Linked DNA regions of Lepisosteus oculatus. The protein of the gene in region 1 interacts with the protein of each later gene in a biochemical or structural test. Links are inferred from orthologs where the notes say so. Each region holds a gene or a part of one and is shown on either strand. Other genes may lie near its edges. The genes, in order: nup153, nuclear RNA export factor 1, senp2 and kpnb1.

Region 1 (7,998 bases):
TGCATGCTTATTTCAAAGTCTTGTTTGGCACACCACGTGTTGTAAAACTATCACTTATGTTTAAAAGTGGTCTAAATATTTGTGGACAGAGAGGGACTGAAGTTCTTAAATTAAAAAGGAAGTTCTTCTTACTCTGAGACGAGCCATCGCCACTGAGGCGGAGAAAGAAAGTTTGCGTTGTGAAATATCTATCCTGTGGATGTAAATGTTTTTATTTGTTGTGTTTACAGGCAAACACGACGGCACTGTCCATGGGCGGGAGTATTTCCGCTGCCTCCCGGGACACGGCGTGTTTGTGAAGCCCACCCGCCTCTCTCCAGCCCCCCACAAGGTCAAAGCGCAGGACAGCGTACCCAGGTCCCAGTCGGCCGCCAGCACCAGCAGGAAACGGAGAGGCGTCGCCACCCCCCCGAAGACGCAAGAACACCGCCGCTCGTGGGTCAGCTGATCCTCGGCTTTTGCTCTTGCTACGCGACCTGCTGCGTAGAGAAACAGTGTTTGGTTGTGTATATTGGAACCTGATGTGTATATTCGGAAAGGTGACTGAATGGTTTCTGCTGGGTCGTGACTTTGTCCTTTTATTAGACACCAGCTAACAGCTAGTAGTTGGTGCACATTATACAGATACACATGTACTTAGTTTAAAGCCCACATTTTATAACTTTGACATGCTGTATTAATTCTGAATTACTTCATTGGAGACGCCTATTCACTCAGACAAGCTTACCTCCTGAGAGAATGTGGGTTTTCTGTTAGAAACTAGACCACTGTTAAAATTGTCTGTTTTCCTAACTCCTTGTCTGTATGATTTTAAATGTTGTGAATTGCCAAAGAACCCATTATATCTGCTGTCCATACCCTAGTTTGTTTGTTTTTTTAAAGGGAAAGCTCTGTGCCATATTTCCCTTGATGGCTAGGTATTGTAATGCCTTTTGCTTCTCTGTGTTTCACAAAACACTCTTCCATGACGTCTGTCTTCCAAAAGGCCGCTACTGTGTTGACTAGGCTTTTACTGGAATCCGTACAAACTCAATCACCATGCATCATCCAGTGCCTCAAGGCATTTAAAACACTAACATTCAAGTCTGTCTGCCAGGTAGATACAGGACTGAGAAAAGTGTTACTGCTACAAAGAGAGCTTCAGTTTTGTTGTGTTTTGGAACAAGTACAATTTCCATTATGTAATGGTACTTAGACTCTCCTAATTTAAACTTTTATGTGGAATGGTAGGGTTGGACAATGATGGGGAAACAAAAAAAATGTATGTATCATAGTTTTATATACTTGGATGATAGTGGGTCTTGTGTGCTCTGCTTGAAAAGTATTGCTAAAAGTATTTTTAAACAGATTTCATCACGAGGAGCTGCAAAAACAAACGGTCTACTGTAATTTCAAGTAAAAACCCAGGACCTTATTTTAAAAAAGCTGCTCTCCCCGAATCGATGGTGTAAATAGCCCCCTGTTTGGACATAGTGTTTACTACACTGTACTGTACAGAATTGTAATTTATATTGTATTTCACCAACTCTATTTAATTGGTACAGAAGTGTTTTAGAATACAGAATGTTTACAATGTAAATACTTTTCTTGTCTTTTTTTCTTCATTCCAAGATAGTCATGAGCATTGTCAAGTTCTCTATCTGGTACATTACTCAAGGGTCATCACTTATTTTAAGCAGTCATTATGTCAGAAGCCAGTTCATCTTGGCATTCATAAGATATTTCTGAAAGGTAGATGTGTCAACTGCAAAGGAGCAGGTAAAGGTTTATTCCATGCTTAAAGGAAAAGAAAAGAGATGCAATGTTTCAGCTATGTTGCCTTCTTCAGGATTTTGACCACATCTGAAACGTTGTCTCTTTTCCTTTCAGCGTGGAATAAACGTTTACCTATTCCTGAGACATTTTCATTTGTTTTAAATATATGCACTGAAGTACAATTTACAGCACAGCAAAAAAGAGCTGTTAAAATGACTAAGAATCGGCACTATGGCTTGAGCAATGCCTGTTAAACACTGGGCTCTCCCTGCTAGCTGCTGACTTCTTTCAGAAGAACTGTGATATTTCAATCTATCGCCTGCCACCGCTATGTAACAAATAGCTTATCTGTTCAACACCAACTTCCTCACAAAATAAGATAAAAGGGATTTTTTGTGAAAAATAATACTGGTTCTTTATGAGAGTATCACCATATAAAGCAATATCTTAGGACTCAAAACCATGCTTTTAATTACCATGCTTTTAATTACCAAGTAAAGTCATTTAGTGCTGTCACAGTGCTTTTAGTGCTTTTGAGAATAAAGAAGATACATCACTGTGTTGAACCACAGAGTATCTAAACCTGTACTTTTAATTTGCCCATTCAGGATTAAATGAAAGTCCAGAAAGTTAGCCAAGAAACTGCACAATTCTCAAGTTGGACTGCACCTGGAGTCCTATGTTGATTTCCAGGAGGGTTCTGAATAAAGCCTTAGGTGATTTAGTTGCATTGTAAAAATTCTTAACTTAAAACTCTGGTTGTATGACAAAGCTTCATCCTTATATTCTTAATACTGCTGTTACAATTGTTGTATTCCGGAGCAAGCCAACTAGCCATATTGTAGAAGCTGGTACCCTGGTTCCTTTTAAGAAACAGCTGTATGAGATCCCTGGATCAATTAACTACAAACTACCAAATGGATCAGATGGGTCAGATGGCTTCCTCTCTTTTGTAACCTTTCTTATGTACAGTAGAAAGCAAAACATTTTTTTTAAGTTTCACCCACTAAAGGCTCATGCATAAAATACAATTACCCCCCTTCTGTCTGGACAATTGTATTGAGAATCCTGCAGTCTGACACATATTATATTGTTATACTGTAAGAAATATTTGAAAGAAAAAATCAGTCATTACCAAACTCCTCAAACACATCGATCAGTAGTGTCTTTCTTAGTGTACTTCTTCTTGTGAATCAGAGTGACAGTTCAGTAATGGCTGTGTGAATCGGCTTTTCAGATTATTCTGGATGTCTATAGGTTTTTATTACTTATTACTTAGCTCTTCCGTTAAAGGCCGTCTGAAGAGCATCTCCCAAAAAGGCAGTTCATGAAAAGGTTTGTAAGAAAACATACAGTATGCTTAAATGGCTTATGGCCACTTCCTAAAGGCTGAATATCTTCACTGACAGATATGTCATTTACTGTATAATTGTGTGTGCTTTCTCTGAAGCTCTGTGTACAACACCAGTCTGCAGTCTTGCCAATATAACCCTGAACTCTTTACATCACGGATTCAGATCCGTGATCTGTAACTCTAGCTGAAACCAAAGGTTTTTAGGACTGTTTTCTCACTCGGTTCAAGTAACAAGGCTCACTGGCATAGAGGCTGTTCCAGAGGATGACTTCATTACCTTTGAATGTAAAATCGCTCTAAAGTACTACAAGGACATTAAAAAGGATATTTACATACTGTATAAAAACATAGATCCTTTCATGCAGACTGTAACTTCCTAGATCTCACTATTACTGCCTCATATGTATTTGTGCCATCTTCCTATGTGGACTCTTCTGCACAAAATTATATTAAATTTCACTTGATGTTTTTCTGGCATTGGGGCTTTTAAATTCCTGCCAAAGGACAGAAACAGAGGTCTTTGTGGCCATGACTGTGGCAGACACAATAGTGTGTGTATATATTACAGGACTGGGAAGGACCTCAATCCTGACTGTACTGGTATGTTCCCTGAAATGGTTGGCCAGTGTAAATGGAAGGAAACTTTGTTCGGGAAAGATCACTCTAATCCACAGATCTCTTCACAATCCGTGCTAGACACTTTGTGATGGACCAGAAGACACTGTATTGCCAGTAAATTCATATCCACTCCAGATCACCCAGAGGGCATTGTGCCTGTCCTGCAATTCCATCCACTGCATTTCTTGCGGAAAGCGTCCTACACTATCACATTTGAAAATCAAGACGAATGCCCTTCACAGTAATTCAAAGCGGTAATTTCAGTTGCCATATTTCTGGCTATCACACACCCAGTGGAGTTTACCTGCCCCAGTTTAGGGGGCAAGAGTAGATGTGGGAGACTGCAACTGGGTTGCTTTCTTGCCTGGTTTAAGAGCAACTTGCAGGCAAGGCCAGCTTGGAAGGTATCTGAGAATGGCCAGCACCTGCATGGAAGGCATTCAGGAGCTATTCAGGGTTCTTGTACTGTATTTACAGAGTCAGAGAGTACAAGTTGTACTCCAGCTCCCCAGGGGAGTTAAAATAAAATATATGCTGATTTTTTACCTCTGGTGTGTTGACTGTGCTTGGGTGATGTCACAATTCCTCCGGAGATTTTATTCTTTATTCAGGCAAAGTACACTGAATTCTCACCGTCATCAACTACATAGTATGAGGAAGTAATAAAAAAAGGACAAAAGAATGCTTGGGCATAGCATTGAGATTGCAAAGGTTAAATCAAGTGTAAGTAACGTTTAAGTTATAAATTAGATTGCTTTTACATGGAATAGTTTAAACCTTTTGTCAGCATGCTAAAAAAATCATTTAGAGGTGAGCACTGACAAAATTAGTGTTTCTAGCCTGGAACATGGGAATTGAATTGAGGTTCTCAGAATAGCAAAAACCTTCACTCAATCAACTCAATTTAAAGTACAGGTAACAAATTGTGTCACTCGTAAAATTCTAGCAGTAAAACCTATGTGCTCAAACGTCGTCAAGATAGAAAGATCTGAACAGGTCGGTGTACCCAAATTCCTTTTTGTACGTTTCAAAGACGTGTCTATAAATGGTAATATTCCGTGTGTACGTAAGTTAAATGTGATTAATAAAAAATACATCTTGACGAATGTATGATTTTATCCGACGCATTCAGCTTTTTTATTTAAAAAAAATTAAGTTAACTCTTCCACGAGGCGTACCAGAAAACAGAACTTCAGGTCCCACAAACCCTTGGCATACGCCTCGCCCGCGATGCATGTCGGTATAGCGGCGGGCCAGGCTTCTCGGAGGCTGACGGGAGAAGAGTATCCGATACCGAGCGGTGAGCTGTTGTGAGTAAACCATGGCGGCTGCAGGAGGAGGGAAAATCAGAACTAGGAGGTACCACATCGCTTCGAAACCTTACGCCAAAGGCAAACAGGTAAATTGAACTCTGCTTTGTGGCTAAAAGAAAACGGCGGTGTCTTGCTCGCTGGTGGTAGTCAGGTGTTGTGTGTTTGTAACGGCGTCTTGCGGCCTGGTCTGCCCCATCCTCGGAGGCCTGCGCTCTCTGGTACCTGGTGTCTGCGGCCTACTGGGCGCGCAGGCAGGCTGAACACATCGGGGAGGTCGGGGAAATAAGGCAGCCCGGGAGCACACTGCGAGTAGCGGTGGCGTGAAGAGGCAGTCGGGGTGCATTATCGGATTGTCATTAAGCGGTACTTAAACTTTGCATCATTTTGCGATTTTACTGGTATTCTCTTCGCTGATTTTTTTTTGTTTATTTACTTTTTTTTTCGGGCGCTAAAAATGTAACGTGCGTCCACCCTGGAGCGAGTCCAGGCCCCGCATGTTGCTTTAAGACTGTAACTCTTGCCGGAGTGGCGTGCACACACTCGCCAGGTGGAAACAGGGGAAAGCCCCGATAATTTCGCTTCGCGGAATTAATCCTTGAGACCGCCGAGTTCCGTCCTTTTAGACGGCGAGTCAGGGTGATCGGTGCGCTCCTGTGCTCCGAGCATGTGGCTCCGGATCTCGCAGTGCAGTGATTGCGATCACGTCGTAAGCGGGCAGATCGCCGAAATTTTGCGGCATTCGATGTTCGAACGCCAGCGGGATAAGTATATTGTATTCCTAAACCTTTGCACTTCCCAATGTGAGGTTTAAAGTGTAATCTCCGTTATTGAGGAGTATGCGCTAACCAACCCAATTAAAAGTGGTTTATTCGTGGGGTGCTGTATTTTATTCTAAGTTTCGTCTCTCTTTAAATATCATGTCCGGGCACCCAAAAAGCTTGAAAAAGAACGCCCCCCCCACCTTTTAAAACCATTCGAGTATAACAATGTTGTTATATTTAACTTTTTTCAATTCCATTTAAATCACTCCAAATTCTGGACATGTGGATTCTGTCAAGAAGAACCCGAGTGTAGGTTTGTATTAGATGAAGTCATTCCACAGGCTTGAGCTGTGAGTTTTTAGTCACACTGAAGCATCTTGCTGTTAACTCGCAACCTTTGTTTCAAACTTTATCACGCAATTTAGGATTTCACCAAGGAGAACTGTAGTAGCTAACCCAATCATTTAAAAATACAGCTGGTTAACAGATTTGCTACTGTTTGGGGATTTTTTGTGCTGTTTTTTTATCTTAGATCTGTCATGATGGCATATTATGACAGATCTAAGAACATCACTCATGATGCAGGTACAAAAATTGGTTTAAATAGGCCAAGTTCATGAAAAGTTAAATTATGCAAGACTGGGCCTGTTACATAATATGCCAGTTCATCTCCTGAATGCTTCTGTCTTAGGAATGAGGTTTAATTTTTTTTTTAAATGCGCCTTAAGTTGCAGGATATTTTTTCTTCTTGTCTGTCCTGGTCTTTCGAAGCGCTTTCACTGTGCCGAAAGTTGTCCAAAATACGGGGAAGGAAAATGTGTAGTGAAAGAAAACTGAACTATCAGTTCATCTAGTATCAGAAAGCTGTTTGTTCCTAGCGAGGGTCACAAGGTGAGACTCGCTCTGGATGGTATGTTGCAGGAAAGACGGACATAGGGACAATGAGAGAGTCAGTTATCCTGACCAGCGTGTCTTCGAGGAAACTGGAGCACATGGAGAAGACTCGTATAGAATCAGGGAGAAGACATATACCACACAGAGGGCACGTTCTAATTTAAACTGGTGTGGCCAGCCTATGAGGCAGTACATCTTTTTTTAGTGTTTTTAATGTTTCTTTATTAGCCCTATACAATTTATTGCATTAGGAATTCGCCTTTTCGCATACCCCGGCTTTTCTCCATGGAAACACAGACAGGGAGAGAAGCTGCCATTGTACGGCGCCCCTGGAGCAGTTAGGGGTTAAGGGCCTTGCTCAGGGGCCCAACGAAGTAGGGGCCCATTCCTCTGCCGGCCGCGGGGATTTGAACCGGCAACCTTCCAGTCACAGGCGCAGATCCTTAGCCACAGAGCCACCGCTCCGCCCCTGCATTTTGCATCTGTATCTGTATCTGCATCTGCATCGCCCCTTCCATCTGCAATGGAAGCTTTGAATCGGGTTGCATAGTTTTTTGGGACTCCCATCATTTATACATGGCTTAAATGCCACATACCCATCATTCAGGAAAACTAATAGTCACATCAGGATGAACCTGCCAGAAAGGCTGGGAAGTGAGGTGTCCCTGTGCAATGCAGTCCGAATACTCTGTGTTGCTATGAGTTCTGTAGTAACTAGACACTCCTGCACAGATTCTCCAAATGTGATCATTTAACTAGAGAACATTTTGAAGAGGGCAACAAATCCATATGCATCTGAATTTTGTTTTCCTCTGTTGTGTTGTCTTAGAAGTTCTGTATTTTTTTAAAGGTGCCAGACAACTGAAATATCAGGCAGCTATTTGTAAATTTAAGTTATAAATTGTCCCCTTCACCAAATTAACATCTCTTTGAAAACGCATCCCAAATCGGCTCTTATCATTTACTCCTAATTATTCTTTTTTATCAAGCAGAGGGCTGAGTAACCGAATTTGGACAGCTCAATATGTACTCTTGAATTTCAGGTTAGAAATGTGGTATAGGGTTATCGTCAAAGAATTGGTGATAGTTAAGGTTAAAGTTGTGATAAGAGTGTGGATATGTCAGGATTCATTTTTTAGTGTAAGTGTAAGGTACACGTACAGGTTGTTTTATTCCAACTTTTTGTCTCAACCCAGGTTTTGAGTATGTAATGAGCTTTCCAGAGGTTCATATCAGCATCTGCATCATCTGACAGCTTTTGTGCTTGCATTCATTAAGATATCTGCATCAGGGCCACACAGTT
Region 2 (7,645 bases), on another chromosome or scaffold:
GTGATCCAGTGATCAATAATACAGTGATCGATGGCGGTGATCAGTGATACAGTGATCAATGAGACAGTGATAGGTGGTGGGGATCCGCGATCGGTGGCGGTGATGAGGGATCATTGATACAGTGATGAGTGATTGATGACGGTGATCAGTGATACAGTGATCAATGATGCCCTCTCGCAGGACCTATCTGGAGGAGGAGCTGACCAAGGCGCGCCTGAAGCCCTGCCCGCGGAGGGATATGTACCAGAAGATGGTGAAAGTAGACCCGGCAGCTCCCACGGCGGATGAGCACGCTCAGCAGGCCGTGACCAAGCCGCGCTACATGCAGTGGAGGGAGACGATCAGCTCCACGGCAACGCTGGGCTTCCGCATAGAGGGCATCACTGTGAGTGACCCCGGCGCGCTGACCACAGGTCACAGGTCACAGGTCACAGGTCACACACACACCTGCGTGACTCCCACTCCCTCTCTCTCAGATGGAGGCCGGGAAGGTCCTGAGGGATTTTAAGAAGACTCGAACCCCTGAGCAGATCATAGAGGCCATTCTCGCCTTCACCAGGGGCCAGACGCCTGTCCTGGTCAGTGTCCGGCCCTCTGTCCCGCTGTCCCTCTCTGTCTCGCTGTGTCCGCAGTGTTGACTCTCTCTCTGCTCTGCCCGCAGGAAGCCTACCTCTCCAGGCTGAACGATCTCCGCTCTGCTCTCCCAGACTCGGTCTTCTTCCACTCCCACGAGGTCAGTCAGTGTGTCCGTCAGGAGGCCCTGGAGAGCCTGGACACAGACATTGGACTCCCTCCCGTTTGTCCCTGACCCCTGACCTCTGACCCCTCTCTCCCCCAGCTGATCAGCAGCTCCCTTCTGTTTGTCCCTGACCCCTGACCCCTCTCTCCCCCTGCTGATCAGCAGCTCCCTCCTGTTTGTCCCTGACCCCTGACCTCTGACCCCTCTCTCCCCCAGCTGATCGGCAGCTCCCTCCCGTTTGTCCCTGAACCCTGACCCCTGACCCCTCTCTCCCAGCTGAATGGCAGCTCCCTTCTGTTTGTCCCTGACCTCTGACCTCTGACCCCTCTCTCCCCCAGCTGATCGGCAGCTCCCTCCTGTTTGTCCACGACCTCTCCGGCCGGGCCAACGTGTGGATGATTGACTTTGGGAAGACCACGCCCGCCCCGCCCAGCCTGGCGCTGCAGCACGACGTGCCCTGGACGGAGGGCAGCCGCGAGGACGGGTACCTCATCGGCCTGGCCCACCTCACCTCCATCGTGGGCTGGGCCCTGGAGCGATCACGAACCGGCCCCGGCCCGGGCAGCAGTGCCGAATCGGACCAGGATTTCAGGACTGCCCCAGAGCCGAGTCCGGTTCCGCCCAGGCCTGCTGACGACGGTACTGGACCCAGACCCAGACAAGGGCACACCTGACCACACGGCCAGCACACTCAGAACCTGCCAATACTGGACCCGGTTACACCAACAGAGCCCCAGACTGTAACCCATAGCAACCGTGCTGGCCCACCATGCACAGGGTCAGAGGTCACCGCACGGTTCCTCTTCACATCCGGTCTCCGTGGGGATGATGTGGTGGGAATGGGAAGCTCTCCATATGGGAATCTGCAGTCGATATTCCTCGGATTCTGACCCCCTGGGAATCTCGGGAACGACGGAAGGTTCGGACGTGATTGGATTGTGTAGAAATATTGGAGTTGTTGGTGTCGAGAGGGGTGTGTTTTGGCAGCAGTATTTCAGGGAGGAACAGGGGCTCCCTGCTCTTCCAGGAGCTGGAATTCCCCTGCAGGGAAAGACTCCCTATTCGGCCTCATTCGTCAGGGAATGTGCAGCTTTCACTGTCCTGGACACACTGACCTCCAGGACTGGACTGGAAAGCCCTGTTCTAGACACACTGACCCTCCAGGACTGGACTGGACAGCTCTGCTCTGGACACACTGACCCTCCAGGACTGGACAGCTCTGTTCTAGACACACTGACCCTCCAGGACTGGACTGGACAGCTCTGCTCTGGACACACTGACCCCCAGGACTGGACTGGACAGCTCTGTCCTGGACACACTGACCCTCAGGACTGGACTGGACAGCCCTGTTCTAGACACACTTCCCCTCCAGGACTGGACAGCCCTGTTCTAGACACACTGACCCTCCAGGACTGGACTGGACAGCCCTGTTCTAGACACACTGACCCTCCAGGACTGGACTGGACAGCCCTGTTCTGGACACACTGACCCTCCAGGACTGGACTGGACAGCCCTGTTCTAGACACACTGACCCTCCAGGACAGGACAGCTCTGTTCTAGAGACACTGACCCTCCAGGACTGGACTGGACAGCCCTGTTCTAGGCACACTGACCCTCCAGGACTGGACTGGACAGCTCTGTTGTCTGTGGCAGTAGCGATTATCATCAGTCTGTCACAGAAATAAAGGCTCCTTGAACTGTGTTGTTTGCTTCCTGTTCAGAGTGTCAGGCTCTGCCCCTGAGCTCCCAGCCACACAGCGGGTCTAATTAACTAATTAACACAACTGTAACGCTTCTGCGCAGCTGCAGGGGTGTCTGCAGAGCTGGACCTGGAGGGACGGGACTGTGAGTGACCTTTAGTAACACCTTGTGTGCGTCTGAGACGATGACGAGGTCAGGGGGCTGATTGGCTGAAGCCCTCAGGGGGACACACTCCTGAGACCCCCAGGAAACACTGGCAATGGAGAGCCAGCACCCTTAACTACTTAATAATAATAATGATAATAATAATTGCTTACACTTATAGAGCGCTTTTCTGGACACGCCACTCAAAGCGCTTTACAGGTAATGGGGATCCCCTCCACCTCCAGTGTGCAGCCCCACCTGGATGATGCACCAGTCCGCTCCCAACACACCAGCTCTCAGTGGGGAGGAGAGCAGAGTGATGAAGCCAGTTCAGAGAGGGGGGTTATTAGGAGGCCATGAGGGGTAAAGGCCAGGGGGGAATATGGCCAGGACACTGGGGTAACACCCCTACTGTTCTCGAGAAACGCCCTGGGATGTTTAATAACCACAGAGAGTCAGGACCTCGGTTTTACGTCTCATCCGAAGGACAGCGCCTGTTTTACAGTACAGTGTCCCCGTCACTATACTGGGGCATCAGGACCCACACAGACCGCAGGGTGAGCACCCCCTGCTGGCCCCACTCACACCTCTTCCAGCAGCAGTCTCAGTCTTTCCCAGGAGTCTCCCCTCCAGCTACTGACTGTCGAAGAAAACTCAGTCTTCACTCAGGTTGGCAGATTGTCAAACAGAGATCTTTAATACGAGCAGCTGAAGGGGAGCACAGCACGGAGATCGGGTTTCCCCTCGCGCTCCAGACATGCTCCCCGGACTGAAGTGACACTTTCCTTTTTATACATTAAAAGTAGGCGAGACTTTAACGCCTCAAAGGAACACACAGGGAAAGGGGCAGTGTCGGAGATCAAACAAACAGGACAGGAAGAAGCCATTTGGCACCCTGCACTCTGTTTCATCTCTCTCTGGTGGAACGGGTGTGAGGAATCACAGGCTTTAGTTTGCACCTGAGACAGAAAACCTTTCCCGCGCATTGTCACTGTCGTGACCTTTTGGCCCGGTCTTCCACAGGCTCACCCTGCTGGGCTCCAGTGGGCTGCCAGCTGGGAGTTGCAGAGTGATATGGCTGCTGGCCACTTAATTCAATCAATTCAATCAACTGCCCTGATTTATAATAATAATAATAATAATAATAATAATAATTGCTTACACTTATATAGCGCTTTTCTGGACACTCCACTCAAAGCGCTTTACAGGTAATGGGGATCCCCTCCACCACCACCAATGTGTACCCCCACCTGGATGATGGGACGGCAGCCATAGTGCGCCAGAACGCTCACCACACACCAGCTCTCAGTGGGGAGGAGAGCAGAGTGATGTAGCCAATTCATAGAGGCGGATTATTAGGAGGCCATGATTGGTAAGGGCCGATGGGAAATTTGGCCAGGACACCGGGGTTACACCCCTACTCTTTTCGAGAAGAGCCCTGGGATTTTTAATGACCACAGAGAGTCAGGACCTCGGTTTTACGTCTCATCCGAAGGACGGCGCCTCTTTACAGTATAGTGTCCCCGTCACTATACTGGGGCATCAGGACCCACATGGACCGCAGGGTGAGCGCCCCCCGCTGGCCCCACTAACACCTCTTCCAGCAGCAACCTTAGTTTTTCCCAGGAGGTCTCCCATCCAGGTACTGACCAGGCTCACACCTGCTTAGCTTCAGTGGGTTGCCAGTTGTGAGTTGCAGGGTGATATGGCTGCTGGCAATATCAGCAGCTGTTCCTGCATTAAGGCTCTGTATTTTATATAGCGCCTTTCACGACCAGTCCCCTCCGAACCGCGATGGGAGCGGCAGGCTCACCAGGAAGTGGAGGGAAGCTGACGTCATTGGCCCCGCCCAGAACGCGGAGACCCCACCCCACCCCTCGCCTCTCTTCGAAGCGTCCCGCGAGGAGCGGCGTCGCCTCAAACGGACATGCGCAGTATCCCGCACTCCACCTCCAGGGGGCGCCGCTCCGTCGCCCGTGGCCCCGAACCCCCCCCCCCCTCCTTTTCCCCGCCCCCTGTCACGTGACCCCCCCGCCCGGCTGTCTGAAGTTGGCGCGGGAGAGGCTCGCGCCGGGGGGTAACGGTCGCTCTCTGGAGCCCGGAATCACCTTGTTAATCAGCGACCATTATAATAATAAAAAATAAGTAAGTGAATAACGAATTTTAAGAAGTCATTGGCGACGGTGACGACGATGGCGTTCTTTCCCAAGTGGTACGAGGACTTCGCGGTGGTGAGGCGCAGGGACGCGGAGACAGGTACACGCGTGAGGAATGACTTGTGCTCGGTTAGTTTCGGACCTGTATCGCCCCACTCGTGTTTGTCACACACAGATGTGTCTGTCAGAGAGGCCCCCTCCCGAGCCGGGTTCAGAAACGGGGCTCACTCCGTCGCGCTGGCGTGAAACCCTCGGCACCCCCACTCCGCTAACAAACCCCACGATAATTCCTCCCCCGGGCGCCCGGTGGCGATTTGGTTTTGGCCGGGTTGAAGCGGGGACACGCGTGGGCCGTCTCGCTCGTGTCCGAGCGCCCACGTGAAACTGAGCTCCTTGCTACTCGTACGAAACACGTGCATCTAATTAGATAAGGGGTACAGGTCAGATCACACTGGGGGCTCCAGTCCAGTAGGACAGTCTGTTACACTGGGGGCTCCAGTCCAGTAGAAGTGTCTGTTTCACTGGGAGCTCCAGTCCCAGTCCAGTTACACTGGGAGCTCCAGTCCAGTAGAAGTGTCTGTTTCACTGGGAGCTCCAGTCCAGTAGGACAGTCTGTTTCACTGGGAGCTCCAGTCCAGTAGAAGTGTCTGTTTCACTGGGAGCTCCAGTCCCAGTACAGTTCCACTAGTATTGTTGGGCTCCTTGCTCCTGGTGCTGCTGGCGGTCCAGGAAGTGATGGAGTGCTCAGGCTCGGCTCTTGGTTCCTCAGGCAGCGCGGTGTCTGCCCCGGTCCTCCGGACCCCCCGGCCTTGTGGGCTTCCTCTCGGCCAGATCATGCGCCATCCCGGGCTTCCCCTGTGCCTCTGTCACTCGTGTCTTGTCAAATTCCCCGAAGCTGAATCTGCCCAACGCAAGGTTTACTGGTGGCCAGCCAGTGTCAGCTGGCGAAGCTGGAGAGCTCCGCAGTCATGATAGATGGCATCTGATTGCGGACGGACGCCCTGGGTTCTTGTGTGTTTTGTTATCACTGCGCACAGCCCCCCTCGGGTCTGAAAAGTGTTTTATACCTCAGCTACGCGACGCCAGCTCCCTGGAACCCCGCACCCTACCATATAGGGAGCCGGGCGTCCGTCCACACAGGAAGTGCGTCACCGGAAGCTGGCCGCTTGTAGTTCTGCGGGCTCGGGGCGGCGGAGACGTATTGCGCAAGCGCAGTGTTGATCTCCCAGCTTGTGTCGCCAAAGCACAGCGATCGCACTTGTGCGGGTAGAGGAAAGAAGCGCCGATCAGGACGTTTTTACAGTAGCGCGTCGGCTGGATTATTGCATGAGCACAGCAGGGTAGTCTTCTCGGGCCGTGCGAGTCTTCTCGGGAGCGATCGTGGGAGCTTTCTTTCGTGGAGTGCGTGGGGAGCATGGCGATGGCGGACGAGGGCCGGTACTATAGCGGTAAGTGATGGAGCTTCTCCCTGTCCAGCTCAGCCAAAATGGAGACCCGCGTCCTCCAGCTGGGGAGGCGAGGGCAGACTGCGGGCCGCCGAGATCTCAGGAAGGCGCCCTTCGTGACGCGCGGTGCGGGTTTGTTCTCGTCCTTTCGCGGATCGCGGCTCCGGTCCAGTCCGGTGCCGTGACGCGCTTTCAGCGGGAGGGCCAGTGTCGCAGGGCGCCTGTGCGTGCGTCTGTCTTCGTCCCCGTCCTCGCCTCGCAGTCGTGACGCCGACCCCGAGACCAGGAGACGGGCTGGGGAGAGCAGGTCGTTCCCGGGGCAGAGGGGACCCCCGCTCCGGCTGCTGTTCCCCTGTAGCTGCCCGGTGGTCGCACGGACCCCCGGTGGCGCAGAACAGCGGTCAGGCTGAAGTGTCGCCCCAGCCCCTCCGGTCCTGCGCGCTGCCGAGAGGACCCCAGGCTCCCGGCTCGGGATCGCTGCCGACCCCTCTCACCCTGACCGTCCTGTCTTTCCAGTCTCCCATCAGGAAAGATTAGGTCAGGTGGCACCAGGAGCACAAGGCAGACTCTCATTAATCACCTGCGTTGACCACTGGACATTACTTTAACTGTGTTATCAAAATTGAATGTTGATTATTTAGTTTACAGCCATAGTATTATGTGCAATAATAATGTTATCTGTATGTGGGTATTTATTATGGATAGTTTATTTATCATTTACAAGTATATATGTGTGGGATTATCACGTAGGGAGAGTTCTGACACCTTCTTGAAGTGCAATATATATTTTTTCTTTAATTTCTGAAATGTATGTCGTGTTTTATGTGTCTAGTATATGTGGCGTGTTTGTATGTATACAGTGTATGAACAACTCACCAAGTCAAATTCTTTGTAAGTGAACACTTACTTGGCCAATAAAGAGATCTTTTGATTCACCGATACTGTAGCACATCCATTAGTTATCCTGCTCCCAGAATGTGCAGGCGCTCGGGGCTGATCCAGTGACAGTGTATCACAGTGTCCACGGACAGCGCTGTTTCAGAGGGACAGGAGCTGCAGCAGTGTGAAGTCAACAAGCCGAAGGCCTGTGTGAAGTCAGTGTGCGAGTGTGAAGCACACTCCCTGCTTTAGAACATTTTCATACAGTAAAACCACTCGGATTCACACCCTTAGAATCGTGCACCACAGGGCGCTCATCCAGAGACTGGGACTGGACTGGACTGGACTGGACTGGGGTGCCCCCAGAGTGCTCGTCCTGTGTGATAGGGACTGGGACTGGACTGGAGTGCCCCCAGAGCGCTCGTCCTGTGTGATAGAGACTGGGACTGGACTGGACTGGAGTGCCCCCAGAGCACTCGTCCTGTGTGATAGAGACTGGGACTGGACTGGACTGGAGTGCCCCCAGAGCGCTCGTCCTGTGTGATAGAGACTGGCACTGGACTGGAGTGCCCCCAGAGCAC
Region 3 (7,995 bases), on another chromosome or scaffold:
TAACCCATCTGTAGATGGCTCTGTACTTTAATCAAAATTGAAAAACCTTGGGGTTATGTTTGATTCTAGCTTAACATTCGACCCACATGTACAGCATACTGTCAAAACATCTTTTTTTCACCTTAGAAATATCGCAAGACTACGCCTTATGCTATCATTAACTGTGGCTGAAAAGCTGATCAACATATTTGTATTCTCTCAAATTGACTACTGCAATGCTCTACTCTCTGGGGTATCTAAATCTACTCTGAACAAACTGCAGTATGTCCACAATTCAGCAGCCAGAATCCTGACCAGGTCTAGTGCAAGTGTTCACATTACTCCTAACCTGGAGTCCTTGCACTGGCTTCCCGTCAAATTCCTCGTAGACGTTAAAATCCTCATGCTCACCTATAAGGCTCTACATGGCTTGGCACCTCAATACCTGTCTGAACTATTATTGCCCTACTCCCCACCTCGCAACCTCCGCTCTTCAAATTCTGCCCTCCTTACTGTCCCCCAAGCCCGTCTACATTGTATGGGTGACAGGGCCTTCTCCTGCTATGCCCCCAAGCTCTGGAACTCTTTGCCCAAGGATATCAGAGAGTCACATTCTCTAAACACCTTCAAATCCAGACTCAAAACCTTCTTCTTCAGAAAAGCCTTTATTTAACTGGTTCCATTCTTCACTCCTGTTCTTCTAAGTACCACCTTCCATGGTCTCCTCTATTGTTATTGTTGTAATTGTAATTGTATCTTATCTTGTGTATTCTTCTTATTTATTGTTGCAGTCTTCTTATTTATTGTTATTGTCATCCTTTAAAGCGCTTTGAGACGCTACCTTTAAAGGCGCTATATAAAATAAAGTTTATTATTATTATTATTAAATACTTATGAAATCATGATGTTTCCATTTTTCTTTCATATGAATTTTCAATTGACTCATTTTTGTTTCCTGCTTTGTGTGGAGAACTTTGTTGATATAGCAAAAATAAATGTTACACAAAGTGCAAGCTTTAAAACAACAAGGGTCTGAATACTTTTGTATGGCACTTTAGAGAAACACTTCAGAATCTAATAATACTCCTTAAACCTCCAATTGTCCTTTCTTAAATATGGTATTGCTGTAAAAACAGTTTTGGACTAGAGAATCTGTAAAGAAAATCTACTCTTTGAAATGGTATTTAATTAAAACAGAGTACCTACCTGAGAAGTGCTGTTCACCTTTAGGGTTTCACAGTGAGAAGCAGTAAAAGGATTCTGAAATCTGAAAAACCCGGTGACTCCCGTCAGTGTTTTTTTGACAATACTGACAGCTCCATCTAGGCAGAAAGGATTAAACATTACAAGACACCACATGTCAAAACTGGAGCATACTCACTTTTACTTGTGAGATTTGTTAGGCACAAAAAAAAGAGAACATTCTGTTTAGAATAAGTTGTTCAATATGCATTAACTGCTTAATAGAAAAGAGCAAACCTTTGCATCCATCCATTTTATTATTCAGGTTTAGGGAGTTTAATGATTTACATTCCAAATAGACAAGTTGATTTATTATAATCGTAACTGAACAAAACATGTTGCTGAAACGTTAATGCAAAGATACTTTTTTTATATAGGGTAGAAAATTGTTTCTGGGCACAAGTAAATAAATAGGGTGATCAGATTTAATTACAGGCGTTACTGGGCCCAACTAAATTCGTTTTTAGCATATGAATTAATTTCCCCAACAAGCAAAAAAAGAAAACAAATCTAGAGATCAGAGCTGCACTGACAATTTCACCAGGGAGAGACAAGCCTGAAAAATACCTCTTCTGGGTCTTTTGATCCCCGAACATTCAGTCTGGGTGTCTGATGTCTGGATGCTGGGAGGGGGAAAACACAGAGGCCATTTTAAAACCTGGAATAAAAGTTATTCCTCACTAAACTCGATGCTGTGGCAAACTAAGTAAGGTGCCATACCTGTACATTTCACCAGTACAAATACATGTCCTGCAACAGCAAGAACACTGTGCCAGACAGCCAGATGAAAACAGCTTTTATGGGAAAACCTTAAAAGGTTTTAGGTGGATACATTACGACCCTAAGAGAGGCAGGCTAAAATGTCAAGTTTATTTTTTCAAACGTTTATTCGTGATTCAGCTATTTGACAAACGGAATTAATACAATAGTTAAAAATTGTATTCTCTGCCAAACAAATTCTAGCACCGATAAAACTACGGGTAACGAGCTATCAATGCGTAAAGTTGCAATTTAACTTCACTAGCAAAGACAATTGGAAAGCAAAACGTCTTGAAGTAAACTCCACGACACTGTCTAAGTTACGGTTTTTAAAACGCCGAAACAAACTTGGCATGACTCGAACAAATACGTGTTCGACACACTATTTCATTTCATTAACCATTATTGTTTCTCGTTATTCTTATCAAACTGCCACTTGACTTCGAAACAAAACATGTCAATAAAGAAAAAGTTAACGAGGCACTGGTCTGCACACCCGTCCCCCGTCGCTCAAACCTGCAACACACCGACCTCTGGTAATTTCTCTTAGCGGGGCTGACGCGGCTCTGCAGCCGAGGAGCGGCGGCGGAACTCGGCGGGGTCTCGGTGCCGGGAGGACTCCGCGTCCTTTGCCGGGAACGTGGAACAAAGAACGACGTGATGCCGTTAACTATCCATTCATACATATCAGAAAACCGCGACAACAAGGCCGCCTGTCCGTCTGTCACTGTCAGGGCCAGGTCTGAAGGGTGCTGGGTTGACCAGCCTCCGAACAGGGACACCAATTCGCGTCACGACCGTCTCATAGTAATACGTCTGAAAAACTGAAATAAACTACCTGGTTGGTTAAACAAAACATTAAGATTTTACATCCTGGGGTTTCATTGGCTAACTGAACGACAACAATACGTCAAACACGCACTTCTCAATTTGCAGTACTAAACCCAGCCTTCTCAGTTCAGCACGGACCAAAACACAATAAGGCCGAACCTCGTTGATGCGCATGCGTACCAGCAAGCGAGTGACCGAGCATAGCAATGCAAGGGTGGACATCCGCACCGCGGGAAGTATCCAGTTTGTGAAAATGCACTGCAAGGGTACAGATGTGTTTTGACATTTAATTATATGTAGTTCTACAAACACTGTGAGTGATGTTTTATAGTGTTGCAGGTAAAACTCACAACGTGTGTTTTATTCAAGCTTTCAACGAGGCTGAAGCTAATTTGCATCGCACTGTGTGTTTTATTTACCCACCAATTATTCCGTTTCGGAGCTGTCAGAGAAATCTGTTTTTGCGAATATTATTTCCTGTTTAATAATATAAACTTTTAATCAAATAACAATTATATTTAACGTTTTAGCTTATTATATAAAACAATCGTACACACCAAGTTCATACAACTTCAGTCTAGTCCTACAATTACATTAATAATTACAATTACACCAATTATAAACTGAACTGTGTTTACAGTTAATACATTACACTTTATAATTAAGAAAGCAAAACAACAGCAGAAAGCAGAACCATGAAAAACAGACTTATCAGTCCTCTCCGCGTATACGTAGTGTATTTGTACATAAACGGTATATTACGTATTGGACAGTTACATGTCAGGCTGATATACCATTACATTATATGGGTAAAATCTCGGATTTTCTTCTGCGGTCAACTGTCAAAACGTAAACTTTTTAGATAACAGAGTCGATACAGTTGCGCGAATACAATGAAGTAGGTAGGTGTTTATTTTGAACACTCAATGAAGTAGGTTTATTTTGTGGTGTGTTTTTCACATAAACACTTCATTTTTATAAATAGCCCTGTATAATTTGTTAATTAATATTCGCAAATTAAATAATATTCGCAAATTGTCATGTCAAGTTTTTTTTTTACAATTTTCATTATCACACATGATTAGAACTTACAGCTATATACTTATACAGCTTGTTACAGTTTTCAAAACTGATCTGTTTTGATATTCTTCTCCAGGGAACTAAAAAGGAATGTATATACTTTTTAATTAATGAAGTTCACTAATGTTTATCAATCCTTTTTTTAAGTAATACCAAGAGACTTTTTATTTTCTGCCTCTCGACTTCTTCTCACCTCCTCATGCTGTATTTCTGTGATGAGAAGCTTTGGGGGGACAGAACAGGAAACCCTTTTTGCCACAAAGTCGAATTTGTTTAAAACAATTTAAAGTCAATTTAGTTTAAAGACCAGGCTTAAGGATTTGTTATATAGTTTTTCAGTCGTACCCTCATTAACAGCATATCACGCTCTTTTTGCGTCTGCATCAAGCTAGCCTTAACAGGTTCAATCACTCGTAATTGTGTTCTTCACACTAAAAACTAATTTGCGACGTATTACAGTACTATGCGATGCAAAACATTTATACAGTCATATACACTCCATTATTTTCTTTATTTCATGAACGTTGCTTATGTTTCTATTAAAACACTTAATGTAGCCCACACTACAATACATGAACAGAAAGGTAAAAATGTGGAAAATGTTAAGTTGAACAACTGCCAGTTAGCTATCTCTCAGGACAACACACTTCTCACAGATCATGCTAGTGCCTTTAGGTACACCTCATTATTTTGTTAACTAATTAATTCCTTAACCTTATACAGCACTTTTCTGGACACACTACTCAAAGCACTTTACAGGTAACGGGGACTCCCCTCAACCACCACCAATGTGCAGCCCCACCTGGATGATGCAACGTCAGCCATAGTACGCCAGAATGCTCACCACACACCAGCTATCAGCAGGGAGGAGAACAGAGTTCTGAAGCCAATTCATAAATGGGGATTATTAGGAGGCCATGATTGGTAAAGGCCAATGTGAACTTTGGCCAGGATGCCAGAGTAACACCCCTACTCTTTTCAAGAAACACACTGGGTTTTTTAATGACCACAGAGAGTTAGGACCTCGGTTTTAAGTCTCATCCGAAGGACGGTGCCCGTTTACAGTATAGTGTCTCCGTCACTATAATGGGGCATTAGAACCAAAACAGACTGCAAGACACCTCTTCCAGCAGCAACCTTAGTTTTTCCCAGGTGGTCTCTCATCCAGGTACTGACCAGGCTCACACCTACTTAGCTTCAGTGGGTTACCAGTTGTCAGTTGCAGGATTTTATTCTGTTCATCCGCTGGGTGAATAGCCCCTAAACAGATGGAAACCCCATTACAATGGGAAAAGGATAGCTAATGGGATAAATACATTTTCATCAACCACATATCCAGTCTCCTCTTTGCTTATGTCAGCCACCTTAGCAAAATGTCAATTTAGTACTAAGTAAAATAAGCTGTTACAAAGCCATATAGTGGCACTTATAAAGCAACATTGGCATACTCTAACAGCTATCATAAAACTTGAGCAAAAAATTGTATGCACAAGACATTGATACCCTAACATCAGTGGTGTCCAATCCAATACATTCCCATGGAAACTAGTCACTAGTTACTACTATACCTACCATCACTGTTAATTTAATTGTCCCATACAAACATGATACTCACAATGCCAGCTTTATCTGCATTGAATTTTACTGCCATACACAGCATAGTTTTCAGTGTTGGGCTAGCAGACCTTACAAGCATTCAACATTAAAAGCAGGAATGCATCAGCTGTGAAAAGGTAGGAGAAAGTGTAAAAAAACTGGTGTCGGGCCGGAGGTGTGAGGGCTATACTGACACGAAGTTTGCATAGAATGGCTAGTGTCTCTGTAAGGATGGTACATTCCGTGTCTTTCCTTGTTCTGGGGCTTCCCATAGATCAAAGGTCCTCCTTGTGCAGTTACCTGACAGTTCAAGGTGACGTGTGATTGTGAGACAGGTCTAACTGGACTTTAGACTGAGATAAATACGCACTGCAGCATTAATCGTGGTCATCTGCATGACTTGATCAATGATCCCCAAGCAGTTAGCTCTGCCCACTTCCAAGACATCAAAGGGAGACTTCCACTTGCCTGAGAATGTGACCTGGTAGGAGGAGCTTCAAACACCCCAGTCATTAGGACTCATGGGGCACACAGACAGAAGAAACTAAAGTAAAACCGTTCGTACCACAGCACACAGGTAAGGACTCAGACACTAAGGATTCTAGTAGAGAATTAGAGGAAGGCTCCAGCATCATCTTCCTCTCCCCTACCGAAGCTAGATTCAGAGCAAAACAGGGTGGGAAGGCACATAAGAGACCACATTGTCCAGTATGGCCAAGACTGAGGAGATATCAAAAACTACAAATAGTTTCTTCTGTCTGTGGTGGAAGAAAGCATGCCAGCTCACCAACTGGAGTTGGTTTTAGAGAGCAGAGATGTTGGACTGCTCCTCTGGGAAATTTGGGTTTTGGTAAGTGGGATGCATGGGGATCTTTTACTGTTCTGTGAGTATGTGCCTCTTTTGATTAAGTTGTGTTATGTATTCTGTGTATTGGGTAGGCAGTTATAGAATCTGTCGCATCGCAGGTCCTGTGTGATGAATAGATTGATAATAAAGTATTAAAAAGTGTAATTATGTATGACACCTGTTCTGTGCAGATCTTTGGGTGTACTGATGGTTCTGGTAGGATAGAGGAACCTGTTGTGGAGCAAAAACGGTCCTAGTACTCTTAATGTTGCTAGGTGGAGTAGCTAGCAACAAAAGCTAACATTATCCTGCATTTAGGGATCACGCTCTGTGACAAAAACTTTTTGCAAATATACTGTATGTGTTCCGGTAAAACACATTAAATATAAATTGATTATGTTTGCTATGAAGTATATATGGGTGGCTCTCCAGAACCAGGAATCTCTATGTCATTGTGATAGAGTCTGTCTAGTTCAAAATTTAATACAGGGCAGCTGGAAACCCAATTATTTACCAACAAAGAGCTTAATACAATAAACACTAAGTTGTTTCCTGGTTTAGAGAATACAAACAGAAAACAAAAGACTGTTTATAAAAGGCTTTTAAATTGGTAAAATAATCTACTTCATTTTCTTTTTATTCAGTCTTATAGTGATTTTGTTCCAAACATAAACAGTTACTGTTTCACAAAAAGAAACATATGTTGTTAGAATCGACATTTATTAAAATTTCAAGCACTTTGCAAAAAATCATAAATACAAAAATACATAGCTTACAAAGAAAAGAAAGAAATAGATATAGTTTGTGACAACAGTAGGTGAAACTATTGGAAAGGTCATTCCATATGGATAGATGCACTAAATTAAGGAGAAAACAGTCCTTTAAAATAACATGATATATTAAAGCTTTACTGAAAAGAAGCAAACGTTTCAGGCTAAATATAGCATTATTAAGATAACATATAATAATATGGCTTTTTCTTTCAATAACCCCTTTTAAGAGAAGATTTGTATTCAGAATCATGAAGAATATTTAACGTAAAATCTATTTCAACTTCTAACTACATATATTTTTATACATCTGCATCAACATTCCATGGTTTGCTCAAAGTGATATAATCAGCGACTGAGTTTAAAATGGACAGTCATTTGAATACTGAAACACTCCTTTGCAGCCTTGCACAGGAAAGAAGATGTAGCAACAATCTGCAAGGATCTCAAACAGTCTGGTCCCTTCCTTCTGTATGGATGTCAGCAATGTCCAACCTATACACTCCCAGTCAGATTGCTTAAGGTACTGCCTGAAGATGGATGCAACTTCTTTGTGAAGATAAAATGGATAGTCACCTAAATGCCTGTCAAAATAAGAAGGAAGTGCTATAAACGTAGATCAGAGATCCTAGATTGATCAGCCAAGTGAACTGCGATACATCCACTGCCACTCACAGTAAATATCTGTTTACAGACACTAAACTCAAGCACAACCTCTCCCATTATGGATCACATATACAGTATACTGTCATTAAAATAATTTCTTGCTACACACAGCTTTTTCTGGAAAGGAGAAAACCATCGAGACATGGAACCCCAGAGATTTATTTTTTTGTTTTTCTCTGATCCTTCCTCGATGGTTACACTGTTACTCTACAATACATTAAACTA
Region 4 (7,017 bases), on another chromosome or scaffold:
CTACATCATTTGCTTCGCAGTACATTTCCACTCTTTCAATGTACGTTGCCCAGTCCTCAGTGCTAGTATCAAATGCGGTAATAGTTCCAATCATCGGCATTTTTTTTCATTTCAAAGCCCGTTTTCCTCACACATTAATTAGCTCACAACAACCACTATAAATTCACAATATGTACTGTATTTGAATGAACTCGCACGCTGCCTTTTTGCTAATGGTTAGCGTGTTTCATCAGTGTTTCTTCAGTGAATATTAAGGATTTAATATTTTTTGGGATGTGGGGGTGTATAGACTGTGTAGGTTCGTGAAGGAGCTCTGTCTCCATCTAACAACACACATCTAAACCTCACACCCCTGGGCCCTGGGGCTGCACAGAGCACATAGAGGAAGCTATACTGGACACAAAGTAAAGAGCCTGCAGGTTCCCTTGGGAAATTTAATACAACATCATCCCCTGTATCAGCCATAGTTAGTGTGCACTAAAATGTGTTAATTACCCCATCAGAGTGTAGTTTTGCCAGGGGGAGTTTTGTGTTTCACACTGACCAGAACTGTCTGCCCCCCCCCCCCAGAGCTTCTTCGAGAGCCACCACGCCCCCGCAGCCGAGCGGACGGTGCAGCAGTGCTGCGAGAACATCCTCCTGAACACCGCCTGGCTGAAGCGTGACGCCGAGGACATCCACCAGTATATCCTGCAGCGCCGAGCCCCACCCAGCGCCGCCGTCTGACGCCCTGCGGCCCGCGCCGTCCCGCAACCGGGCCAGGGGCCGAGGGAGGAGTCAGCCACGCTCTCCTGACTCCACTTCTCCACATCAAGTAGACAAGACTGGTTGGAAAATGAATGTAGTTAACCCCATTCTGCCCACGCCAGATTGTTTTCCCCAGACGGAACCGTGCTTGCAAGTAACTAAGCAACATAACTTAAAACACACAACATAACATTGTTGGTGTGAAATGATTCTGGCCAATTTTGTTTCATATTGACATAAGTGGAAATGTTGCATTGTTGAGCGTACTGTGAAATGATGAATTTGCTTTTCTGGAAACAAAGCGTCAAGCGACCACGAGGCAGCTCTGGCACCTCACTGGGGGTCAGGCGGTCAAGTGGAGCTGGGCAGGATGGGCTTAACTTCTCCTCGCGCGGAGAGCAGCCGTTAGCACACAGCAGCGCTGAAGGGTGATGCTGAGAATAGCTCAGTGGGAATGGCTGAAACTAGCATGGAACTTGATATGTATCTATCCAGTGTTTATTCACGCAAGACTTCTCACTCAAGAATGGTGATGTACATGATTTTCTTCCCTCCTCCGTTTCGTAGCCCTTTTCCAGAAGGACTCTTTTCTTTTCCATGGTCCCACACCTCCTTGACCCTGAGCTGCGTCCTCTGTAGAGCAGCACAGAGCCTCTGCCTGGAAACACATCTGTGTATCAGCCACATTAAATAAAATTAGATACAGATATTTTAGTAGATTTAGCAATTGTTTTAAAGTTGTGAAACTCATGAAAAGTTCTTCAAAGCGATTTGGGCCTTTTAAATGACATTTACAGATAATGCTGCATATTAAATTAGTTTTAAAGAAATGAAACTTTCAGGCCCTGAGAACTTTGCCACAAAGTAACTAGGATTTCACGGCTATTGAATTAAGAAGCCTTAAATTGGTTAAACTGGTTTGCAATAATTATTACACTGTGAAGTGGTAATAGTTACTACACTGAAAATAAAGCAATGTTGTACTAACATTACAAATCTACGTGTAGACTTGTTGAAAGGATATATTTACATACAATTTGCTATTTAGTGTGGCTTTGAACCATACTGGAGAAGGTCATCAAACTAATTGTCAAATTGCTTCCCTGAAACATCTGTTGTGCTTTTGTTTAAAAAACGGTTGGTGTTCATAAAATAAAAAATCAACAAGAAGTGTCAATGTGAAATCGCTTTTTCTTTTTTACTCTCTTACAAACTTGTTAGGACCTGTCAGTCATAGGTTACTGGCAACTGAAACAAAATATTGCTATAAAGCAATGTAATAAAAGGAAAGAATGCCAACATCACTCCTTTCTTCAATGACAGTGTTGATGTGTATGTTTGCAAACCTGGAGCGGTTATCCTTCATGCCAAAGGAGATTGAGCTGAGAAGTGCATCTCCATATTACCCAGTTCCCTGGGGTGTGTCCAGTATTTGGACCGTGCTGCTGTGTTGAGCAGAGAATCGGGAACTGGCACAGCTGCTGTTCTGGCAGTGGTGCCACAAGAGCTGAAGCTGCTTCTCCACACTGGAGACTCGGGCCCACACACGGGCCGCAGAACTGCAGGCCAAGCAGTTGTTTTTCAGTTTTGAGTCGCTATTAAATACTTTTATGAGGGAAAAACACAGATTTTTATTATTCTTATATATTAAAATCTGATTGCCGTGAACTTTGAACATAAAGCAAGCAACCAAACCAGGAGAGGATTGGCCCGTTTAGCACCAGTCTAGCTGTTCGGTAACCTCTTATTCAGAAAAGATTGACTTGCATCAGCCTTAGCCTGCAGAAGGCGGACACCAAAGCACACCATTTTAGTTTTACACAGTTTTTGCAATTTGAGGTCAAGCTAATTTGTGCTCTGCAGCCAGCTGTAAATGAGCTGTCTGTTATGGCTGCAATACCACTGAACTGCAATGTCTGCTTCTCTGTAGCATTTCAGGCCTCCTCTGGTGATGGCCTTATCCAGCAATGTTATGTAACAGAACAATCTTAAACTCTCTGACAAAATTTCTTCTTAATATTTGAGACTGTTGATTTGAATATTTTATACTAAACAGGGCTCGTGTAGCTGCTGTGCGTTATACCTGGAAGCAAATCGCACTGCCTTCCGCTGGGCAAACCTCGAGCTCTGCGCAGTCCACGCGCCCTGCCCTGTCTGTAAACCCAGCGCCCTCGGGCCGCGAGCTGCGCGAGCCGCACCGCCGGGCGGGAAGTACAAACTCTTCCAGCGCCTCATCGCGCCCTGCGGGCCGTGTATCCTTGCACAGACGGAGTCAAATAGTCCCCCGCACACACACGGACAAGGCACGGGAAAGTGCCGCGGAGTTGATGGTTATCAAGGAATCTGCCTTTTCGGATCTATTAAAATGCTCCTATCTACTTCCTACATTTACTTTTCTGACTTTCGTTTTTGAATGTGGATTACGGAAGAAAAGGCGTGCTAAACGTCGACAGGGCGGATGTTGCACTGTTTGAGCAAATCTCGTTTTCTAGGTCTTAAGAAAAATACTGATATTCAGGGCTCTTTCATGAGGCTGGGGGGGGAGGTTAAGTCACCCCACCGGGAAAGTGTATTTTGCATACTGTGATAGATATCGGTGACGGCTACAGTTCTTTCTGATAAAACATAAATTCAGCATACTGCATTGCTTACTTAAGAGGTACAAAGGAAAAAAATCAACATACTAAAATGATTCACTGTGGCTCCGCTCCTCACATGCAAGACCCCCTAAGTAATTATTCCTGGAGCCGCAGAAGGAGCCAGCAGGATGATGTGAGACCACCCGTCGTGCCGGGGTCTGGGTGTGCCCGTGTCTACAGGCCAGGCCTGCGCTGCGCTCCGCCGGTCTCCTCAATCCCTGAGCCCACGTTTCGCCTGTCTGTTTCTCCCGATCACGTTACCTTGCTGCTCGTATTGCTGTTTTTTAAAGTACCTCACTCTGTACTACATCTGTTACTACACCATGTTGTAACATTAGCTGTGTTACCCCCACGCTAATAATGTGACTTGCAGTAAACTATAGATCTATAGTTTACATACAGGCTTGTGGATGTAATCCTGCAGACAGGACGTCTCTATTATAATGAATATTCGGGTGAATATTGCTGTTATTAGGGACAGCCGCCCCCGCTCCGTCCGCAGGAGCGCGCACATCTGGCAGGGGGGACAGGCCGGCTCTCGCGGCGGCGCGGGCAGGAGCGGGCCTCGGGGGCGCGCCGGGGACGGGGGCGCGCCGGAGGGGAGGAGGCTCTGCCACTGCGGCGGCGCGTGATATCCTTCCGCGGGAGCGTGAAGCAGCTCCTTCCCCCCAGACAGCAGCACTGCCGCTCGGAGAGCACTTACCGCCTCGCCGGGCGCTCGCTGGGGAAACGCGTTTCATCGTCCGCCCTCCTCCGTTTGGAAACTTTCATGTCATATCGCCTGAATACAGAAGGAGTCTGATCCGGTTTCTGTGGTGCGCTACCAGCTACTACTTGTGTGGAGCGGCTCGGGCAGAATGGAGCTCATCACCATCCTCGAAAAAACTGTCTCTCCAGGTGATTATACCCCCGGAGCCGCGGGACTTCTCTTTATGTCCTCACAACTGCTTTCAATCCGGTGCTTGTTCGGCTTGAAAGCCGTGGATCCCGGGAGAATCGGGCTCCGGAACGGAAAGTTGTTTGTGAAAGGGAGGGAGGGGTGGACTCGGCCTGCAAGCCTGCCGGACCGGCTTTCTGGGGCCGATTCCCCGCGCACGTCGCCCGGCCTCCCGGCGCGGCCCCTGGGCTCCCGCTGGCCTCCCTGGGCCAGTCCAGGGGCGCCTCTGGGCACCGGCTGGCCCGGCGAGGTCTGTCTGGGAAAGCGGCCTAATCGGAACAGGAGGTGTAATTGTAGGGCTCGAAAGGCCGGGTCGTGGATCGGTGTAACTTCTGCATCTCACCGGTGGTTTCCTGTACAATTTATTTAAATCGTGGGTCTGTGGGCAGCTCGAAGTCGAATGATGGGGCTGCAGATTAGTGGTGTCACTAACTTGGGGATCTGAGTGCCGTTTTCCGGCGTGCCCGCCTGCGCGGTGAGCCCTGGCGGCCGGTCCGTGTGGTCCCGCATGAGCTGCCGGCCGCGGCCTGGGGCGCTCCGCCGCCTGCGAGCTCCGCCTGGGAGTGATTTTCTAGGAAAATGGAGATTTCTAGCTGTACGATTCTAGGCCTCCGTGTAGATGTCTAAATTGCTGATCTATAAGGGTATTTTCATTGAGTACCCGTTAGCGGATTTAAGCGACATTTTTGTTCATTTTATTTCAGATCGGAATGAGCTGGAGGCTGCGCAGAAGTTTCTGGAGCAGGCAGCTATTGAGAACTTGGTTTGTATTGGTTTTTTCACCCCCCCAGTCTGTGCTCTGCGTAGATTTCTTGCCCCCTGTCTGGTGCCCAAGTCCTCCATTACGCAGAAAAGATCCTGAATGAAAAAGCGCCATGCCCCCGCTGCCCACTCCATTGTAATCGGCTGTGAGTTTGATTGACGCGCTGCGTGGAGAATCGCGGGCCCGGATTTCCCGTGCAGCGTGTCCAATGGCGGCTCCCGTACAGGGCGTGGGGGCTCGGTAGAGGCAGGGGCCCAGTCCGGGGCCATGTGAGCGCCGATCCGCGGGGCCTGACCGCTTACAGACGGGCTTGGTGGTCTGTGCATCTGGCTTAGAAACCGAGAGTAATTTCTGCTTTCACCTCTGGTACAGAGTTATTTACGAATGACCATCGATGTCCTGAAGTTATTCCCCAGGCTCTGCAGATGTAGGCGTGGACAGAAAAGGTTACTTTTCAGCAAAGGAGAGTGTTCGGATTGGTGGTTATATGTGCAGTGTACAGCGTAGATAGTCATTTTTTAACTTATGCATAAGTTAAAGTGCAAATTTCAATACTACTATGAACGCTTTATAATCCGGTCTTTAAAGTATCTATCATTTTTACATATGTTCAAAGATAAAGATCTGAACTACGAAGCCACTCATGTTGTTCAGAGCCACCTTCATGAGAATACCCTTTTCAGTGCAGGCTGCTATTTGCAAGCTCTGTTCCAACCATGCAGTGGTGCATGCATGTGCAACAAAAACACTGGCATTTGAAGATTACCATGAATCTGCTTAACGTCTCATTTTACTTCTACCGTTGCCTTTTATTTTAAGTAATTGAAATCTTTTTAAGACATGTAATAAGGTTTAGCTCTTTGTCATTTAGTACTAACAGTATGGAAAAGTATGGCAACTGCCCTTTTTTAAACTAATAACTAATTAGTAGGACAAACTTGTGAAAGTCAAAAACAGAGGCCTAATAGTAACTAATAGTTGGCAGAGATTGATTGTGACGTCCAAAGGCATTCCCAGAGAACACACTGGATAAGTTGAGGAGTTGACCTTCCAGCGCTCGGCCTGGTTCGTGGTTTCGGCATGCCGTGCAGGCATCTGCATTCTAGGTCTCAGCCGAGCAGTTCGGTTAGAGCCATCCGTAATGGCAGAAGAGGCATTTATTAACAGAAAATGAACGGACACATTTTTGTGGTAAAGTACTGCTCTGGTGCCTGCTGTGGCTGAGAGTGTTAACTGAGGGTCTTGCAGAAGTGAACATAATAAACGCAGAAGTGGCTGTTTGTTCTAAAAGGGAAGGGGTTACCGCTTGGAATGCTGCTCTTGTAGTGTGGATTCGGGTCAGGGGTCAGCTCCTGCTTTGGCTGCGATGGCTCATATCTGTGGCTTGTTCATCTCCCAGCCTACCTTCCTGGTGGAACTGTCGAAAGTGCTGGCGAACCCGGGGAACAGTCAGGTGGCACGGGTGGCGGCTGGCCTCCAGGTGAAGAATTCCCTAACCTCCAAAGACCCTGATGTGAAGACGCAGTATCAGCAGAGGTGGCTCGCGATAGATGCCAACGCACGGAGAGAAATAAAGAACTATGTAAGTCTGGCACAGCTGCTGCATTCAGAACTGATCAGTTACCAGCTGAAGTTTTTCGGTTCTTTATATGAGACGAAGTAGGTTCATTCACCATGCTTCATAGCAGACACAAGTGTATCAAGCCAGTATGGTGGTGTTGTTGGGGTGCTTGTTGTGTTCTTTTGAACTATTACATCATAGTGCTCTATAATACTTCTAGCTTCCATATTTATTATTTTAGACACTGGTGTTAAATGGACAGTTCTTTTATTATTAAACTGGAGTTAAAGGAATTGTGTATCACTGCAGACATAAGCAGACCTTTTTTAATAACCCAATACTGACAACTTTCCTTGTTACAGGTGCTGCA

What was found.
Region 2: the proteins of nup153 (region 1) and nuclear RNA export factor 1 form a complex in vitro, tested with the Homo sapiens proteins (2 studies listed by BioGRID and IntAct). The link is inferred for Lepisosteus oculatus from reciprocal best matches to the Homo sapiens genes NUP153 and NXF1.
Region 3: the proteins of nup153 (region 1) and senp2 form a complex in vitro, tested with the Homo sapiens proteins (2 studies listed by BioGRID). The link is inferred for Lepisosteus oculatus from reciprocal best matches to the Homo sapiens genes NUP153 and SENP2.
Region 4: the proteins of nup153 (region 1) and kpnb1 form a complex in vitro, tested with the Homo sapiens proteins (4 studies listed by BioGRID and IntAct, with this or other methods). The link is inferred for Lepisosteus oculatus from reciprocal best matches to the Homo sapiens genes NUP153 and KPNB1.

The regions. Positions count from the first base shown.
Region 1 is NC_090705.1:16,834,018-16,842,015, reverse strand, and holds the start of nup153 (nuclear pore complex protein Nup153), read left to right. Parts: upstream 1-4,987; 5' UTR 4,988-5,048; coding exon 5,049-5,126; intron 5,127-7,998. Other genes in the region: kinesin-like protein KIF13A, read left to right, coding at 231-448. UniProt on the Homo sapiens protein: Component of the nuclear pore complex (NPC), a complex required for the trafficking across the nuclear envelope. Functions as a scaffolding element in the nuclear phase of the NPC essential for normal nucleocytoplasmic transport of proteins and mRNAs.
Region 2 is NC_090713.1:22,970,841-22,978,485, forward strand, and holds the start of nuclear RNA export factor 1, read left to right. Parts: upstream 1-4,643; 5' UTR 4,644-4,776; coding exon 4,777-4,840; intron 4,841-5,927; exon of another isoform or gene 5,928-6,154; coding exon of another isoform or gene 6,155-6,188; intron 6,189-7,645. Other genes in the region: inositol-trisphosphate 3-kinase B-like, read left to right, coding at 181-385, 477-578, 662-733, 1,078-1,413.
Region 3 is NC_090707.1:24,428,016-24,436,010, reverse strand, and holds the start of senp2 (sentrin-specific protease 2), read right to left. Parts: upstream 3,005-7,995; 5' UTR 2,667-3,004; coding exon 2,497-2,666; intron 1,845-2,496; coding exon 1,789-1,844; intron 1,302-1,788; coding exon 1,186-1,301; intron 1-1,185. UniProt on the Homo sapiens protein: Protease that catalyzes two essential functions in the SUMO pathway.
Region 4 is NC_090723.1:10,479,185-10,486,201, reverse strand, and holds the start of kpnb1 (importin subunit beta-1), read left to right. Parts: upstream 1-4,006; 5' UTR 4,007-4,243; coding exon 4,244-4,283; intron 4,284-5,027; coding exon 5,028-5,086; intron 5,087-6,485; coding exon 6,486-6,668; intron 6,669-7,009; coding exon 7,010-7,017. Other genes in the region: npepps (puromycin-sensitive aminopeptidase), read left to right, coding at 571-726.